2 linked regions of the Nothobranchius furzeri genome follow. The protein of the gene in region 1 purifies or fractionates together with the protein of each later gene. This does not show direct contact. Links are inferred from orthologs where the notes say so. Each region holds a gene or a part of one and is shown on either strand. Other genes may lie near its edges.

Region 1 (8,210 bases):
ACAAGTGGACTCATCTCCCAGGCTTCCCATCTATTATTGAACACCACAACTGTGTTGTAGAAGCAAAACAATGTAGGTGAGGTTTTTGCCACGCAGACGGCAAAGAAACTCGACTTGGGCTAGTTATCCCTGGCCCAGCTTCTGCTTTTATATAACACTTAAGAGATGGGACTCCTAAGCAAGCAAGAAAACCACCAGAAAGAATTAGAGTAGGGTTAGGGAAGTCAAGTCATATTTAGATATGTGTAATAATTTGTTATTGACATAGCTGAGATCTAAATAGAATAGATTATCCAGAGTTATCTCTGTAGTTATGCTGCTATAGGCTTAGACTGCTGGAGGACACACTGACCACTTTTCACACTCTACTGCTTTATTATACAGTCTGCTCTTTAACTGTACTATTTTGTGCCATTTCAGCTGTTAACTTTATTTTCTCTGTAAGTGTTTTTCTCCCCAGAAGATGCTACTATGACGTTCTGCTGAGCTGTGGTGGCCTCATGGAGGGGGCCATCGTCTAGCACACTGCTGCTAACCACTTACACATTCTCTCTCTCCTGATAATAACTTTTTGTTTTCATTGACTTTTGATGTGCTAATACTAGTTTATCCGTTTAATTATAGATCCACTAGAATAAATACAATAAAGTTTATCTTTCACCAAATACAATATTTACTAAGACATCACAATATAACTATAGACACATTACGTGTGTGTGTGTGTGTGTCTGTGTGTGTCTGTGTGTGTGAGTGTGTGTGTGTGTGTGTGTCTGTGTGTGTCTGTGTGTGTGAGTGTGTGTGCTGCTCTGTCTTCTCGATCCCCAGTGAGTGGTGGAGGATGGCTGCTTATACTGAGCCAGGATTCTCTGGAGGTTTCTTCCTGTTAAAAGGGAGTTTTCCTCTCCACTGTCGCTGCATGCTTGTTTAGTATGAGGATTGCTGTATAGTCACTGACACTAGTCAGTGACTTGATGCAATTTGCTGGGTTCCTTATATAGGAAACATTATTTCTGATTGGCTTAATGAACTGTGAATTGGAATGTTTATTATGTGAAGTGCCTTGAGACGACTCTTGTCGTGATTTGGCGCTTTATAAATAAACTTGAAACTTGAATTAAAATTGACACAATGGGCATCACATAATTATTTCAATTGACTTTTTAAACCAGTTGTATCTAAATTACTCTCTATAGCATGGTATAGATAACAAGTAAATATTCAAGTTTTCGAATTAAAAAGCAAACTTCCTCACCTCTTGATAGCCACCAGTTCTCCAGATTCGTTGCTCCTCCCCATCAGCACACAACCATAGGTGCCATCACCCAGCTGCTTCAGGGTGGTGTAGCGATTCATCGTGTCTCAAAATGTCTTCATCAGCTTCCTAAAGCTCGTTCTGAGAGAGGTGAGCTGTGGGAGCACAGTGCTGAGTCATCTGTTGTCTTTAACTGGGGTAAAAGGCTGTTTTGTATCTCCAGAGCAGTTTAGTTGTTCCGGTCCAAAAGGAAGATCCTTAAGTTGTCCAATGTGCCACAAACCCCCTGAGTTTGGGCTTTAGAAATCATCTTCAAATATGTGATCGATTCAGTCTTGTAGGTGTAAATGGGTCGGGAGACAAGGGAGCTAAAAGTGAGAACAACAGCATCAGTACAAATACAAATGTCAATAAAACTCTCCAACAGATCCCTTTCTGTTTTTCCCCTCATAGAGGAGGATCAGGTGTGTGTCACATTAGGAAGCTTCAACACATGAACACCCAAGGGTGATGACACAGGCGGATTAGAGATGTAAATAGGCTGTTGCATCACCGACACGCTTACCGGCATCTACAGCCATCTCCACAGCACCCTGCCTGGCAATAGGCTTTGAGTGAGACCATCGGGTAGCGTTCAAGCTGTTATGCTGCAGATTCAGCCAAATAAACCTTGCTGACGGCATCTTCAACTTTGCACGGGCAACTACTTGCAGCTCAGTACTCTGAATAATTAAAACCACACAAAAACCTTTTAGGTAAAGCTCATCGTTTTGTGTTTAATATTCATGTTGGGCTAATCTTGAGTGGAAATGAGTCCAAAGCGTTGATGAAATTGTGCTTTAAGGGAACAAAATATAGAATATTAAACTCAAATATATAGGCAAGCTGCAAGTATACTAGGGCCTCAGTGGGTGAACCTTGGTGCAGCAGAAGCATGTGTGTGCATTTGAGAAAACCGTGTGTTCCAGCATCTCTTCCCAACTTAAATTTAGGGTGTTTAAATAAAAAATGTTAAAGAATGAGAATAAAAAAAACAGGATATACGTTTAAGCAGAAATAGTTTTCCAACTTTTAGGAATTATGCGGGATTTTTATTTTATCCTAAAAGTGCTAGTCCGACCCTGTACTCTGTGATATAATGTAGGCAATACATCAATGCTTTTTTATTTTGATAAGCCTGTCCTTGTCCCATAGAGCCTCATGCTATTTGAATTGAGCGCCACTTAGCATTAGCCAGCATTCACAAAGGAGAAGCAATGCTTCCAGCTGTAATCACGGAAGTATGGAGCGGGGCTTCATGTATGATTCATTATTTCTGCCTCTAGGTGGTGCCCTCTGACGAAAGACTCCTCTGCTTTAAAGATAAACTTTGCAGTTTTGGCTTGCTTTTAGCACCCCTTAATGTCCAATTTAATTCACCATCATAAAAACGAAACAGAAACTCTCCTCACTGCGTACTTCCGTAATCCATCCATCCATTTTCAGACACTTATTTGGAGTTGTGGGGACCTAAGCAGAGAGGTCCAGACTTCCCTCTCCCCAGTTACTTGGGCCAGCTCCTCCTGGTCAAACCCAAGGTGTTCCCTGGCCAGCAGAGAGACAAATTGTCCCTCCAGTGTGTCCTGGGTCTTCCCTTGGGTCTCCTCCCAGTTGGACATGCCTGGAAAACCTCACCAGGGAGGTGTCCAGGAGGCAGGAGACCAGAAGCTAGAGCCACGTCAACTTGCTCCTCTCGATGTGGAGGAGCAGCGGATCTACTCTGAGCCCCTCCCGGATGAACAAGTTTCTCACCCTATCGCTAAGGGTGTGGAGAAAACTCATTTTGGCCACTTGTATCTGCAATCTCGTTCTGTCACAACCCAAAGCTCGTGACAAAAGGTGAGGGTAGGAATCAACAGTATCACCTTCCTGCTCAGCTCTCTCTTCACCATAACAGATCAGTACAATGCCCGTATCACTGCAGCACCAATCTACCTGTCGATCACATGCTCCATTTTTCCCTCGCTCATGAACAAGATTGACCTCATCCCTGACCTGGAGAAGGCATTCTACCCTTCTCCAATTCAAGATCATGGTTTTGGATTTAGAGGAGCTGATTCTCATCCCAGCCACTTTACACTCTGCAAAAGCTGGAGACCACGTTCTGATAAAGCCAACAAGACCAGATCCGTAATGTAACTGCTGAAATGTCTCCTCAGCCTTAATTTGTTTCTACAGGAGTGATTATTCACTAAATCAAACAAATCAGCTGTGTTCATGATCTAAAACATGCAGGAGTCATATCTCTGAGCTCTCACAATGTAGAAAACCCGATGTTTGACTCCTATTGTGGTCGGGCATTTTTTTATTTATTGTTTCATAGGCCTAAAAGCTTCCTTAGTTTCTTTTGAGGCTCAGACCATGATAAACATGTTACAATAAATGCTATCGAGGTATAGCTCATCTGTTCTGAGGAGTAAACACGGATTGCTGTCAAGCTTGGATTTTGAAACTTCAAGGCAGCGATCCAGGGAGGCTAAAATTGCAAACAGGGTATCACAAGGGGCAGAGAGGCTTTTCATACACCCTGCAAATGGTAATTTTAGCACACACTGGCTAAAGAAAAGGATTTCAAAAATATGACTAATTAGCTCAGTGTGCCTTAAATGAGGTAAATGTGCTTATCTGACATATGTTTGACCTTATTTCCCTTCTTGACCAATAGGAACATTATCTGATGATGGGTCTGCTACAGTAGAGAAAGCACATGTTCTTTAGCATTTGTTCTTAAAATAGATGCTTGAAAAACAGAAAAGCAAGAGGTGAAACAATAATATAAAACAATTTCCTTTTTCTCAAAGAATTCCAAAAATAATGTTTAAAGCTAAATAATTAACCCATAAAACAAATGTAGATTTTAAATGTCTTTCGACACATTTCAATCACATCCAGCTTATTTCTGAATGCAAATTTAAAGCATCTCGTTTGACAGACAAGCAGCTGCAGAAGAATAGTAGGTAGATGCCTAGAGACCTACAATCTGCTAGGAGGGATTTAAAAGGAATTACCGTCTAATAAGGCCACATGACATTAGGAGCTAATCAAGGTCACTTCCCGGTGGACAACAAAAAGATTCAATTTAAGGATTATAACTGTGTGATATGACCACATTTGGCCATTTGACCAATAATATATAACTTTATTTTAATGAATTAATTCAGCACTTACTTTCAACCGTTCTATGGGATAAAGCAATTAAAATAATCTAACATTAGTTAGGTAGTATTTGTCGGGCAATAATAAACAAAAACTATAAAATACAATACGCGCAATTAATTCAAGAGAGAAACGTAGTTCGGACTACTGGTAGTTGCATCAACGTTCATTTTTCTCCCTGCCTCTTTTCTTATCTTTTAAACTGTCTTGGCGGTTTTAAACTCACCAGTTCAGAAGTAGCTTGTCTCCGTTGTCTGGCTCTGCTGATAGCTCCAGATAACATTCTCACTTAGCCCAAACCCAGCGCGTGCAGGTGTGTGCGCGTGACCTCTCCATGGAAACGAACAACATAGAAAGCTCAAACCTCTTCCGAGAGGTGACGAAGCGCGTGGCGGCCGCAATGCTTTGTGGGACTTGTCGTCCTGCACGCATTTATCATCTTCGTGATTGTTCTTGATATTCGGAGACGATTCTAAATGTAAACCATCGATATTTTAATTTAATTTTTGCGCAAAAATTAAAGCCATATCGATTAAAAGTGACAGTGATGTGTTTTCAGCAGTACTCGGGTTAGTCGCCACCAGATGGCGCTAAAATACCGCGATTGGACTATCAGACGCTGTGGTACTACAATCAGAGCACAATAAATAAAAAAATGTATATTATCTAACATTTAATTATATAGGCCATATGTGGTACAACATACATTAAATAAAAATTATATTAAGATTTAATCATATAAAAGCTATGATTATGGGGTCTTTTTTATTTAGTTGTCACAATTTTACGATTGTTTTGTTGTTTTAAACGTTCCTGTATTTTTCCACTAATATTAATTTTATATTTTCGATGGGCTACACCAAATCTTTACAGTACTGTCACTAAACAGAAATGCGTATGCTTAAGAACCCAGCAAACCACTGAAAATGTCATGTCTTCATCACACCAACAAATCAATGTCAGACTGACCTGAACCCTGCTTCACTTTAGAACAGGTCTGCTGCAAAACGTCAGCTATACTGACATACTGTGAAGCATATTACATATTTTAAAATATTAAATTATGCTAAATACAGATATGTAAAAAATATTTCTTTCCTCATGTCAAATCAAAGGTAACCCAAATAAATACAAATCTTTTTTAATTACTTTACTGGTGTTAAAGCCATCCAAACCAACATGACTTGCCACTAATCCCAATAACGGGGTGTGAAATAATTGACGGCAACATGCAATCAAGTATTAATGACACCAGTGAGGAGTCTCATCACTGTGGAGGAATTATTCAGAACTGCTTTAACTCAGGCACAGTGGAGGTTTTCCAACTCTTTCTAGGATCTTTTGTACGTACATTCTGTTTCATCCAACTGCCTTCTTTGCACTCTTTCTAGGATCACATCTGAGGCTTTCTCCTTCAGGATTTTTTAGTAGACAGACTTCACAAGTGGTCCAGGTCCTGCAGCTGTAAATCCGCACCAGGCCATCACACTACAACCATCATGTCTGACTGTTGCTATGACATTTGGGTGGAAACAACATTGGATTTACACAAAAGGTATAAGAAACCTGTCAGAAGATGACAGAAATTCCACAAAAGTAATTAATTTTTCTTCCCAAAAGCATTAGTTACAAAGTCAACTCACAATTTACAGTAATGTCAGACTTAATTTATACTTGGGAAATGAGTAGTATCAAATACAAAAAACCTTAAGGAAGGCAGGAGTATTTCTGTGTTTGCAAAAAAAAAAAAAAAAAAAATCCATGTATGTTTGTACGTTTGGGATAGAAGATTTTTATTTGTACATGAACTTTTCTCGTCTGTGTATCTGAGCTGCATATTTCTCAATGACCTTAGTGTTAAAATCACGAATGTCCTGGGTCAGTTTTTTCTCTATGGAGAGCATAGCCAGAGCATTGAGCCGATCCTGCGCCAAAGTGTTTTTAAGAAAGACTTTTATCCTGTTTGAGGTAGAGAAGCACCTCTTCGACTCTGATGTGTTCATGGGTGTTGTGATGACGATGTTCAGAAGACTTACAGTCTCTGTAAAAATGTCTTGAAGGTTGTTTTCCATCAAAACTCGAAAGAGTGCCACTGCACCACTGCAACTATGGAACTCCTCATTTTCATAGATCAGGGACAGTTCGGTTTTAAGTTTGGCCTTGTCCAGAAACGGGTAGGCTTCCAGCGCAGTGTCCAGAGCCGAGTCTGGGAACATTCTGCTGTGTTTTCGAAAGAAGTTTGCTTGCACCAGAGTGGCACTGATGAGGTGTTTGGTGAAAGAAAACCTCTCCTTGGCATGGCTCACGATGGTGTCACATACCTATGTAATGAAATAAAATATTTAAAAGGGGAGAATGAAGTCATCACATGTCTCACCATCTTTTATATGCTGAATAGTTACCGTTTTTTTTTTACATCACGCACCACTTATGCATCCGGTGGAAAGGCTAGGCTAGCCTATACTGTGAAAACTCAAAAAGAGAATAGTTCATTTGTTTTTCAGAAATTGCTTTCAATAAGCTGTCAAGTTGAATGAATTAACTTGGATAAACTTTATTCAAATTCGTGTCACCAATTTAAGTTGGATCAACTATTCTCTTTCGAGTTTAATGGCTTGACACAAGCAAAAACACATTCGCAAGTTTGCAAAACAAGCTAGCTTGAATTTTATTTCATACCCCTAACAACATTTTAACATTTAGTGAATATTTTGTGGAGATAAAAAAATTGGAAAAATAATGAAGTGGTTCTCTCGCATTAGTCCAAAAGCCTTCGTCAATACCAGAGCTCAGTCTTGTTTTGCAGTGGTCATTAAAGCTTTAAGCCTGATTCATGCTTCTCCGTCTGCGTCAGTGCGGAGACACGCAACGTCCTTGCGGAGCTGCCGGAGAGCTTCGCAAGGACGGACGGAGTCGAACTCTCTTTTCTAAACATCCGTCAGTCGAGACAGACAATGCAAGCTTGTGATTGGTCAGGACGCCGCTGTTGTCTACAGCGCCGCCATTGCGCCCTCAAAAACATAAAGAGAGCCGAGGATAACAAGCGGCAGACACGGAGAAGCTTGAAGAATACCTCGCGAAAACACTCTAAAAACATGAATGTTTCATTCTCCCATGACTGGAGGAGTGAAAAGATATGCAGCAAGCATTTTATTTGTGGACGGAAATGACAGGAAACGTGGGTTTAGAGGTGGCGAGCGCATGAAGAGGTGGAGAATGAGAGACAAATATGTCTGTGTTAAAAAGTCTCTTATATACACAAAACACACAATATTAACACACTATCTTGGACCGATACATGACAGGATACCACAGAAAAGCGCTACGCCCTCTGTGGTCCTGGCGGGCAATTGCTTTGCAACACTCTCCAGGAGACGGAGAAGTATGAGCAAAACGCTTCCGTCAATCCGTGCATGTCTGTCCCTTGCGGAGCTGACGGAGAAGCACGAACCAGGCTTTATTCATATCATAATATGACAACGCACCTTTCATTCTAGACTAGACCACCATCCCAGATGGCCTGCATCCACATAAGATTTCACTTTATGATCTGAAATCAAAGTGTTTACCTCCAGAGCAAAATGGTGCTGCATGTCTTCTCCCATTCTTTTCCATTTCTTATTGGGTGGCTCCTGAATAGGTACCACAAATGCCTCCTCCTTAACCAGAAAAGGAATGGCCTCTCTGATCCAAAACAGAAGTTTCATAAATAAGTCATAAAAACTGTCTAGGGATATATTAACCAAACCTAATGTTGTTTTAT
Region 2 (8,080 bases), on another chromosome or scaffold:
TTAGAAGGAGGCCTATCTAATGTTTTGCTCTTGACCAACAGAGGCTTAGTGGGTATGAAGGGGTCAACACTTTCATTCCTCTTGGCAGACAGAGAACGTTCAAGTTTACGACCTGCAGCAGATAGAGGACGCGTTCGCTAATAAAACCAGACATTAGACCTATAGCTGTCGAACAGCTGGTATGATTGCTTAGTTTAGTCAATGTTGAGGAGAAGATCCTTAAAGACTACCTTTAGGTGAGGGGCCAAAGTCCAGAACAATGAGGTTTGCGGAGTCAAAATGGCCGTGACTCCCGCCTGTCCGAGAATGAGTGGAGGACTTGGAGGAGGAAAGAGGCAGCCCAAGTTCATCCAGACTCTCGGTGCTCTCATCCCTCTCAATCTGCTCCTCTACCCACTCCTCGTCGGACTCCTCCCCTGCTGAGCCGCTGCTGCTCCGTCGCATGCTAACCTCCAGGCTCCGACGCAACACCTAGCATACAAAGAGACAGTTTTTATTCATGCATCAGTGCTCACACAGGCGCAAATACACAAGAGAGGGGACATGAGTGTAGGGATTTCCCTGACCTCTGTGAGTAGATCTGAAATCATCACTTAACACCAGGCAGCATCACAGTAACATGTGAAACTCACCAAATCTTAAGGTCATGGGTGGTTTTCCTCTCACCTTCACTTCCTCGAGGTTGAGGAGCACCTTCTCGCTGTGCTCCTGGTTGCCCTGGTCTTCCTGGCACTCAGCTCTGGAGCTGAAGGAGCGAGAAACCCTGCAGGCGTCTCTTTGACTCCGAGGACTACATGGCGAGCGCAGACTAGAGCGCTGTAGCAAACATGGAGAAAGAGAAATAAGGAAAGGGGAGAGACAGAGAGGTGTTAGGAGAGTTGCGTGTGACACACAGCTCCTCCCCTAAAACGACAAAACCCACACACAGTGTCTTGGCAGGAATTGTCACTCTACCTCCATGTTCACACTTTCATAAGCCTCAAAATCGTCAGAGTAGCACGTCGCTGGAGATATTTCCAAACTTGGGCCATGCTCGGTTTGAATTTTAACACAACCCTGCACACATCAGATAAGAAGATATTGTTACTACATGCACTTATATGTATTTTTATATAAAACAACAAATTAAGACATCAAAGCTCTTTACCTGCACCCATTCTTTCCTCTGGACCTTTGCTGGAGCAGTCTGGCTCCTCTTCCTGCCCGACTGATCCGGATTACGGCTATCTTCAGTTAGATGGTGGGCGCTTATCCAGAAATCTGAGGATGAGTCACAGCACAGAAAGGAACATGAGCAACTCGCTGCAGACTATAGCCTCAGAGGAGAGAAAACACTAAACTCGTACATGCAGATGGTCCACAGCACATAAAGGAAGCACCAGAAGAAAGCTGGCAGCTACAACTGTCACTATTGTTTAATCACTGAGACCGGGCATGGACTCACACAAAACAAGCAGCAGAGCGGTGGCAATTAGCTCATGCTCCATATGCTTTACACACGACAGAGGGACCTGCAGCTTTTAGCACAATCCCAAAGCACAAGCTCATAAATAACTAATGAAAGTATAATCAAGGTCTTACATAGGAGCAAACATTTACACTCGCCTAGCTGCATACCGGCTGTGCGTGCAGGCCTCCCGGCTGGCTGAGGGGCCTCTGGCTTGTTTTTGGGGTTCTTGAGCTGCTTCCTACTGGACTCAGCATTAGCGCCGTTCAGATAAATTGAGAAGCCTTGCTCCAGCTGCTCCAATTCGATCTCTCTTGGATTTTTCACTCTGAGGCGCTTTAGGATTCTGCAAAGCATAAATGAAAATGTAAATAAATAATGCTATATGCTGTATCTGATGAAGAAAAGTCTAAAAATGTTTTCGCTAAATTCAACCAAACATTTTCAAATGTATGCTTTTACTATTTTAAATAAAAACGTGTTTTTCCTCTAAACAAAAGCACCAAACTAAACAGAGCTTCAAACTGTTAGAAAACAAAACTGTGATGCATTTCCTCTGTGAAATCCAATCAGTCCATCTGCAGCAGCCTGTGCTCACACACACGTCACCTGTTTTTGTGCTGGAGGTCAATTAAATATTCATCCAGAGTGTCATCTCCGGCAGAGGCAGGCTTCTCTCCTCGGTACGTCTCACTCTCCTTCACACGCGCGCGCGCACACACACACACACACACACACACACACACACACACACACACACACACACACACACACACACACACACACACACACACACACACACACACACACACACACACACACACACACACACACACACACACACACACACACACACACACACACACACACACACACACACACACACACACACACACACACACAGAGTCAGGAAAGCATAGAGGAAAGAAACTTCCTAATGAACACACAAATGTATTTACAACCTATACCAACATAATTCTACGCACCACAACATTCATGCATGCAAAATGCTCCTCTAGATGTGTAAACAAAGCTTCAGTTAAAGTTATGTAAAGTGACAAGTTGTCACGTTTGTTAGAAATATCACAAAATCTATGTATGAATGAAAAAAAATTAAATAAATCCAAGCCACAACTGCTTTTTCTCAACCATCAATACTTGTTTATTTTTCAACTGAGCCTTTTTGTTGTAATATAGCCCTGTTATGTGCTACTTAGGTTAAGCAGTGACTGTGCAGTAATTTGAACTACAACTTCTGTTTCCTGCAGTAATTTATCTCTAGATAGACAAATGTGGTCTTTGTGATTTGACTCCAAACCAGAAAAGTGTTGGTGCAGCTTCGCAACTAAATCCATAAAATGATTGTTGACAAATGTCAGAATGAAAATCATGTGTGTTTATGTGTACATCAACACACCTAAACTAAGGTAACCAGATTGTGTAATCATTTAGATGAACTTGATGTATCATTATGCAATTTGCATACAATGCTAAATTAAAATAATCATCAGTCATTATCCCTCCAGATGCATCTGAGCGTACAAAACACAAGCCTCTTTAAAAGGAGCATCAGTCGTCTGTACAATGCAGCCACTCGTGCAGTTCCATTACTTTCAGTACAGGTGAAACTCGAAAAATTTAGAATATAGTGCAAATGTTCATTTATGCTTTAAAGGTGAAGTGAGGTGGACTCATTATGTGCAAAGCCAGACATTTCACACCTTTATTTGTTATAACTGTGATGATAATGGATTACAGCTGATGAAAACCCTACATTCAAAATCTCAGACAATTAGAATATTGTGAAAAGGTTCAATAAAGTGCCACACTCTAATCAGATGATCAATCCAAAACACGTGCAAAGGGTTCCTGAGCCTTTACATGGTCTCTCAGTCTAAAGCAAAATACTAAAATAAATTAATTTTGCACCATATTCTTGTTTTAGAGTTTCATCTGTATTCATGCGTGACAAATAAATAAAAAGAAATTACAAAGCTCTTACTGAAGTATTTACAAGTCAACTAGGATGTCAGTTTCAGGAGCAGAGAAGAGAGAAAGATGTGAAGAAGCAGGAAAATGCTGGTTAGTGATAGATCCCTGAGACACATCATGTGGAATCACTTAATCCTTTCAATAGTGGATTTTATGGAATGAGGTATGACATGAAAAGCACTGCTGACAGAGGCCGTTACATGAAACTCATCTCTTACTTTTTTCTCCATGGCGTGCTGCAGGGACTCATCTGAAAACACTATCCCATCTTTTGAAGAGAGATTATGTGACTCCCAGTTGAGTTTGATCCTCTCTGCAGCATGACACACAAACGCAGCTTCAAGATTGCTTGACACATCTTAAAGGACTTGTTTAATTTCGCCACACCCGACAAAAACATCGCAGCACCAGGTTGTGATTACATGACATCATCTCGTGTAGCACATCTGTTCAAGGTTTTTCCACAAACCCCCATTTGTTAGCAAGTGCACCTTTAAACATCAGAATCAGAAGGGTTTTATTGTCATATGTGCGAGAATCACAAAGAAATTAGGTGCTACTTGGTGGAAGAAAAGATAAATGACGAGCAAACATTTGAATTACGAAATAAACCCAGTGAACATACGTGCAGTTAGCGTAAGACAGCGCCTGGCATTTGATTTTGTCATTAAAAGCTAGCACGTTGATCGCTGGAGATGGGCCGATGGGCTTTTTCTTTATCGTGTCCTTTTTCCTTCTTTAAACCCGCAAAGTGTTGCTAGAGGCTAATCTAGCTCGCGTTGTAGCCAATGCAACATTAGCAACCTCGCGCTAAAGCTAACAACAAACCGATACGCTAATGAGTTAGCATGCATCCGTTTTACGTGACTAGATGTTTACATATGTAATGAAAAATAGTGACGTTACTCATATGTACATTTTTTCACAAATTACAAGACATACTTACAGTACTCCTAAAGAGTTGCATTATTAGTGTGTAAAAAAAATCGTATTTACCGATGGATTTACCCAATGTTGGAGGATTTCCTCCTGTGAGTTGTGTTGCTCGGTAACCAGGGGAGCTCTCCACCAATCAGGAGAGCTGAGGCAGCGAAGGACACGCCCCATCCGGACATACCTATGCCCTCTAACTCACCATTCAATTAAAAAAAAAAAAGGTGCGAAAAATACAATAAAGGCACACAGGTTTCCATGGCAAAAAAAATCAACACTGTTTTTATTTATTATAAATCAGTACATTTCTTATAAAAACAAAATAAAAGGGGATGAAATAAAACCATTTTAGATGTTTAATTAGATAGTGGCCACCCACTTCCATTCAACCCAAGTCACAGTCTGTTGACTAACCAGCAGGACTAACTAGCTCATTCCAAAACACCCTTGCTTATAATGATCAATCTACAATTTGGATACGCTTCAAATGGTAATATTGTGGTTAACAACAATCTCGGCAAAGCATTCCAAGTACAGCAAATTAGCATGCCATTAGTTTCTGTGCAATTCATTGCAACCATTGCCAGCAGCAGTACTTGCATTATTTGTGACGTGTGCACACATATTTTGAGTGTCTAGCAGTCGAAGGACGTAAAGACTAAAACTCCTGCAGTACAACAAAAGCTCTGTGAGGTGCCCAGGCTTAATGCAGTTTAGGCATCCCTCTGTAACAATTACCCAAATTTTTGATACAAAATTCCATTATTAAAATGAACGAGGCAGCTGAGAAAAGCCAACCTCATTCAGTTGCATACATTAAAACTGTTTGTTGAAAGAAGGCGGACATGAAAATGGTAGATGTTGCGGGAGCAACACATTCTCACACCCAAGGCGTCATAATATGACGTGTGTGACCAAGTCTCAATATATGACGATTCGGGACGCCCCAGTGCGTCAGGAGACGACGATCAGGGACACGCTGGGTCACGTGGCTCCGCTGGCGTCACTGTTTGACGCGCGCTGTCACACGGACGTTATTCGACTATTTAACCTTCCCGTCACCCCGATCCTAATCTTAAGGCCCATAAACTGTGACCTTAAGGTTAGGACTGGGGTGAGGGGAAGGTTAAGTAGTTCACAAGTACTTCTAATGTCCGTCTCACCACCGGCGTCGGACACCGACGCTCTGGGACGCTGCGTCAGTTGTTTGTCCCTGATCATAGTCTCCTGACATGCTGGGGCGTCCCGAATCGTCATATATTGAGGCTTGGTCACACGCGTCGTATTTTGACGCCTTGGGTGTGAGAATGTGTTGGCGGGTCATGGGAAAGCACAGAAGCTGCTCACTGTTCAGGTAGCACTCAAAAGTCAAAGAACACTGAATACTGGAGACAAGAACAACCAACTGGGATTTAAAAGTACTCAAACTGATAAAAGTATGCCAAAGTAACTGTAATTTGTATTTTTTTAAATGCCCCTATGACTGAATTATAATGTCCTTTTCCTACTATCTGTGGGCCAATCATGATAAACTCACCCTTGCTACACGGACACATAAAACCATCCACTCACTGATTCACCATCTCATTTTTGTCACTTTGAATTGATTTTAAAAAGGTAGTTAAGACATGATTTCCCTTCTTCATTAGAAACGACCCCCTTGAACAAATTATATCTACCATGTTTCAAGATTAAATCTGCTCACGGCTTTCTGCTGCCCATTCACTGAGCTAACTCTGATGGGTTGTGGTAGGTAGGTGTATGTATGTATGTATATATATATATATATATATATATATATATATATATAAACATCAACCACATTCTTAAAACGCAATGGATGGGGGAAAAGTAAACCAATAACTTAAATAGAAGTGCTTAAAACAACAGTTCATAGAGCCCTTTCAACAAAATAAAGCATAGCAGTAATCCCATCCCAACATACCAGGAGAGATAACTGAATAACTGAAATGATAATACTAATATTCATCCAATGATTCCCACATGTACAGTTCACATATAGAGCATATCCTCTCCCCCGAGAGCAAATATGGTTTCTGGTCAGTGCCCCCCCCATGTCTGTGAGCCACGGCTCCCCTCAGTTTCAAGTCTATCTGTGGTAGGAGGACAATCCGTCTCCGTACACCTCCCTCCTTCTTCCTCCTTTGCCTTCAGTGCCTGCTCCTCCTCTCTTTTCCTGCGCTCCAACTCCCACTCCACAAAAGTGTCAAAGAGGCTGGGCCAGGCCTCGTCCTCACTGTAGTTGCTGAGGTCAGACCCAATGGCCTGGGTGAAGTTGAGGAACATGTTCCACGTGTCCCTGGAGATGCCCCGAATACCGGAGGGGTTCTCGGCTAGAAACTCCAGCCAGCGTTCCAGAATCTCCGGAGTGTCTTGTGTGAAAACCAGTCGCCATAGTGCGATGGCAATTTCCCGCTGAAGCGACCGTTGGCCCTCTTCGGCGTCCAGACCGAACTGGAAGGTGAAACGGTAAAGGTCCTTGAAGTTCTCTTCAACCTGGGCTTCCAGCAGCATGTAAGTGAAGCGTGAGCAGATGCCCTCAATACTGTCCGCCCTGATGGCCTTGCAGCCCTCAACAAACTCTTTCCTGATGACATAAAAACAGGATCAGATGTCACAATGGGTATTCAGAATTACAGTAAAATGTCATTTACAGCAGTTCTGTGAGATCTGCAAAACCAAACTTGCCCAGTGGTGTTTAAAAATATCAAGTAGATGAGCTTATCTGCTCAACTTCAACAGCGGTCTGGGATTTTCAACATCAAGTGTCATACAAAATGCTTACGCCAGCATTGCTTAACAATGAAACATATGTTGCATTGTCCAAACACTTCGGAGTGAAAAGTGCAGAGTTTAAAATCAAAGAGAGTGGGGGGGAGCAGAAACAAATGACTCAGCCACAAACGGAGCGCTATTCAGTGACAGCAGGCAGAATGGGGCTCTGGAGCAGGACACACTTCCTGTATGACCTGACTGTGGGGTTTTGTGTGTACGGCTAGCTTTCTATGAACAAGTTAGCAAACATTTAAGATTAGAGGGAACGATAAACTGGTTCTCACGCAGATCCAAAGGGCAGTGTGTGGAAAGACTTGATTTTAGAGTTATGGGAAAACAATTTTTGGATAAGAGGAGTGGCCAAAGGTTTTGTTGCTGTGCAAGTACCGAGGTGTGTTTAACCTACGGTGTTTTTCCATTGTCGGAACTTCAGGGTAAATTCTGGGAGGGGGAAACTGACCGGGAGATAAGATGTCCCGGTCCTCCCAGGTGTTGTGTCTCCATGCAGATTTAGCTCTTTCAGGACTTTGCACAGGCGTCAGCATATCGCAACTTATTTTGCAGTCAGTGATGTCATTGATCAGCTCCAAAAAGCATCCTCAGTAACATTAAAAGTTTTACTCTGTCAAAGTACAACCTAATTTAATCCATTCAGAGGATGAGAGCAGCTGCGTGAGGTAAAAAACAGAAGAAGCTTGGTTTTTTTACGCTGCGATGCGAGACAAAAAAGCCCAGTGAACTATATCATCAGTCGGAGCTTCTTTTCTTTTGCTTCCATTCTGCTTCACAAGCAGCTCTTCTAATCTTACTAATGCCAGTTGTTTTGGACGACGTCTGATGATGTAATTTCCTACAGAGTTACAACCAATCAGTGTGAGTTGACGAAGGAGGGGTGCCCAATCCTGGTCCTGG

Evidence for each region.
Region 2: the proteins of mak (region 1) and katnip purify together in Homo sapiens (affinity purification with mass spectrometry; 3 studies listed by BioGRID and IntAct, with this or other methods). This does not show direct contact. The link is inferred for Nothobranchius furzeri from reciprocal best matches to the Homo sapiens genes MAK and KATNIP.

The regions. Positions count from the first base shown.
Region 1 is NC_091747.1:57,638,735-57,646,944, reverse strand, and holds the start of mak (serine/threonine-protein kinase MAK), read right to left. Parts: upstream 5,462-8,210; 5' UTR 4,674-5,461; intron 1,621-4,673; 5' UTR 1,354-1,620; coding exon 1,253-1,353; intron 1-1,252. Other genes in the region: zinc finger MYM-type protein 1, read right to left, coding at 6,241-6,768, 8,017-8,131. UniProt on the Homo sapiens protein: Essential for the regulation of ciliary length and required for the long-term survival of photoreceptors. Phosphorylates FZR1 in a cell cycle-dependent manner. Plays a role in the transcriptional coactivation of AR.
Region 2 is NC_091756.1:31,629,867-31,637,946, reverse strand, and holds the start of katnip (katanin-interacting protein), read right to left. Parts: upstream 4,335-8,080; 5' UTR 4,108-4,334; coding exon 4,065-4,107; intron 3,753-4,064; coding exon 3,658-3,752; intron 2,146-3,657; coding exon 2,057-2,145; intron 1,794-2,056; coding exon 1,618-1,793; intron 1,261-1,617; coding exon 1,148-1,260; intron 1,057-1,147; coding exon 955-1,056; intron 817-954; coding exon 667-816; intron 472-666; coding exon 231-471; intron 113-230; coding exon 1-112. Other genes in the region: dcun1d3 (DCN1-like protein 3), read right to left, coding at 6,434-6,980. UniProt on the Homo sapiens protein: May influence the stability of microtubules (MT), possibly through interaction with the MT-severing katanin complex.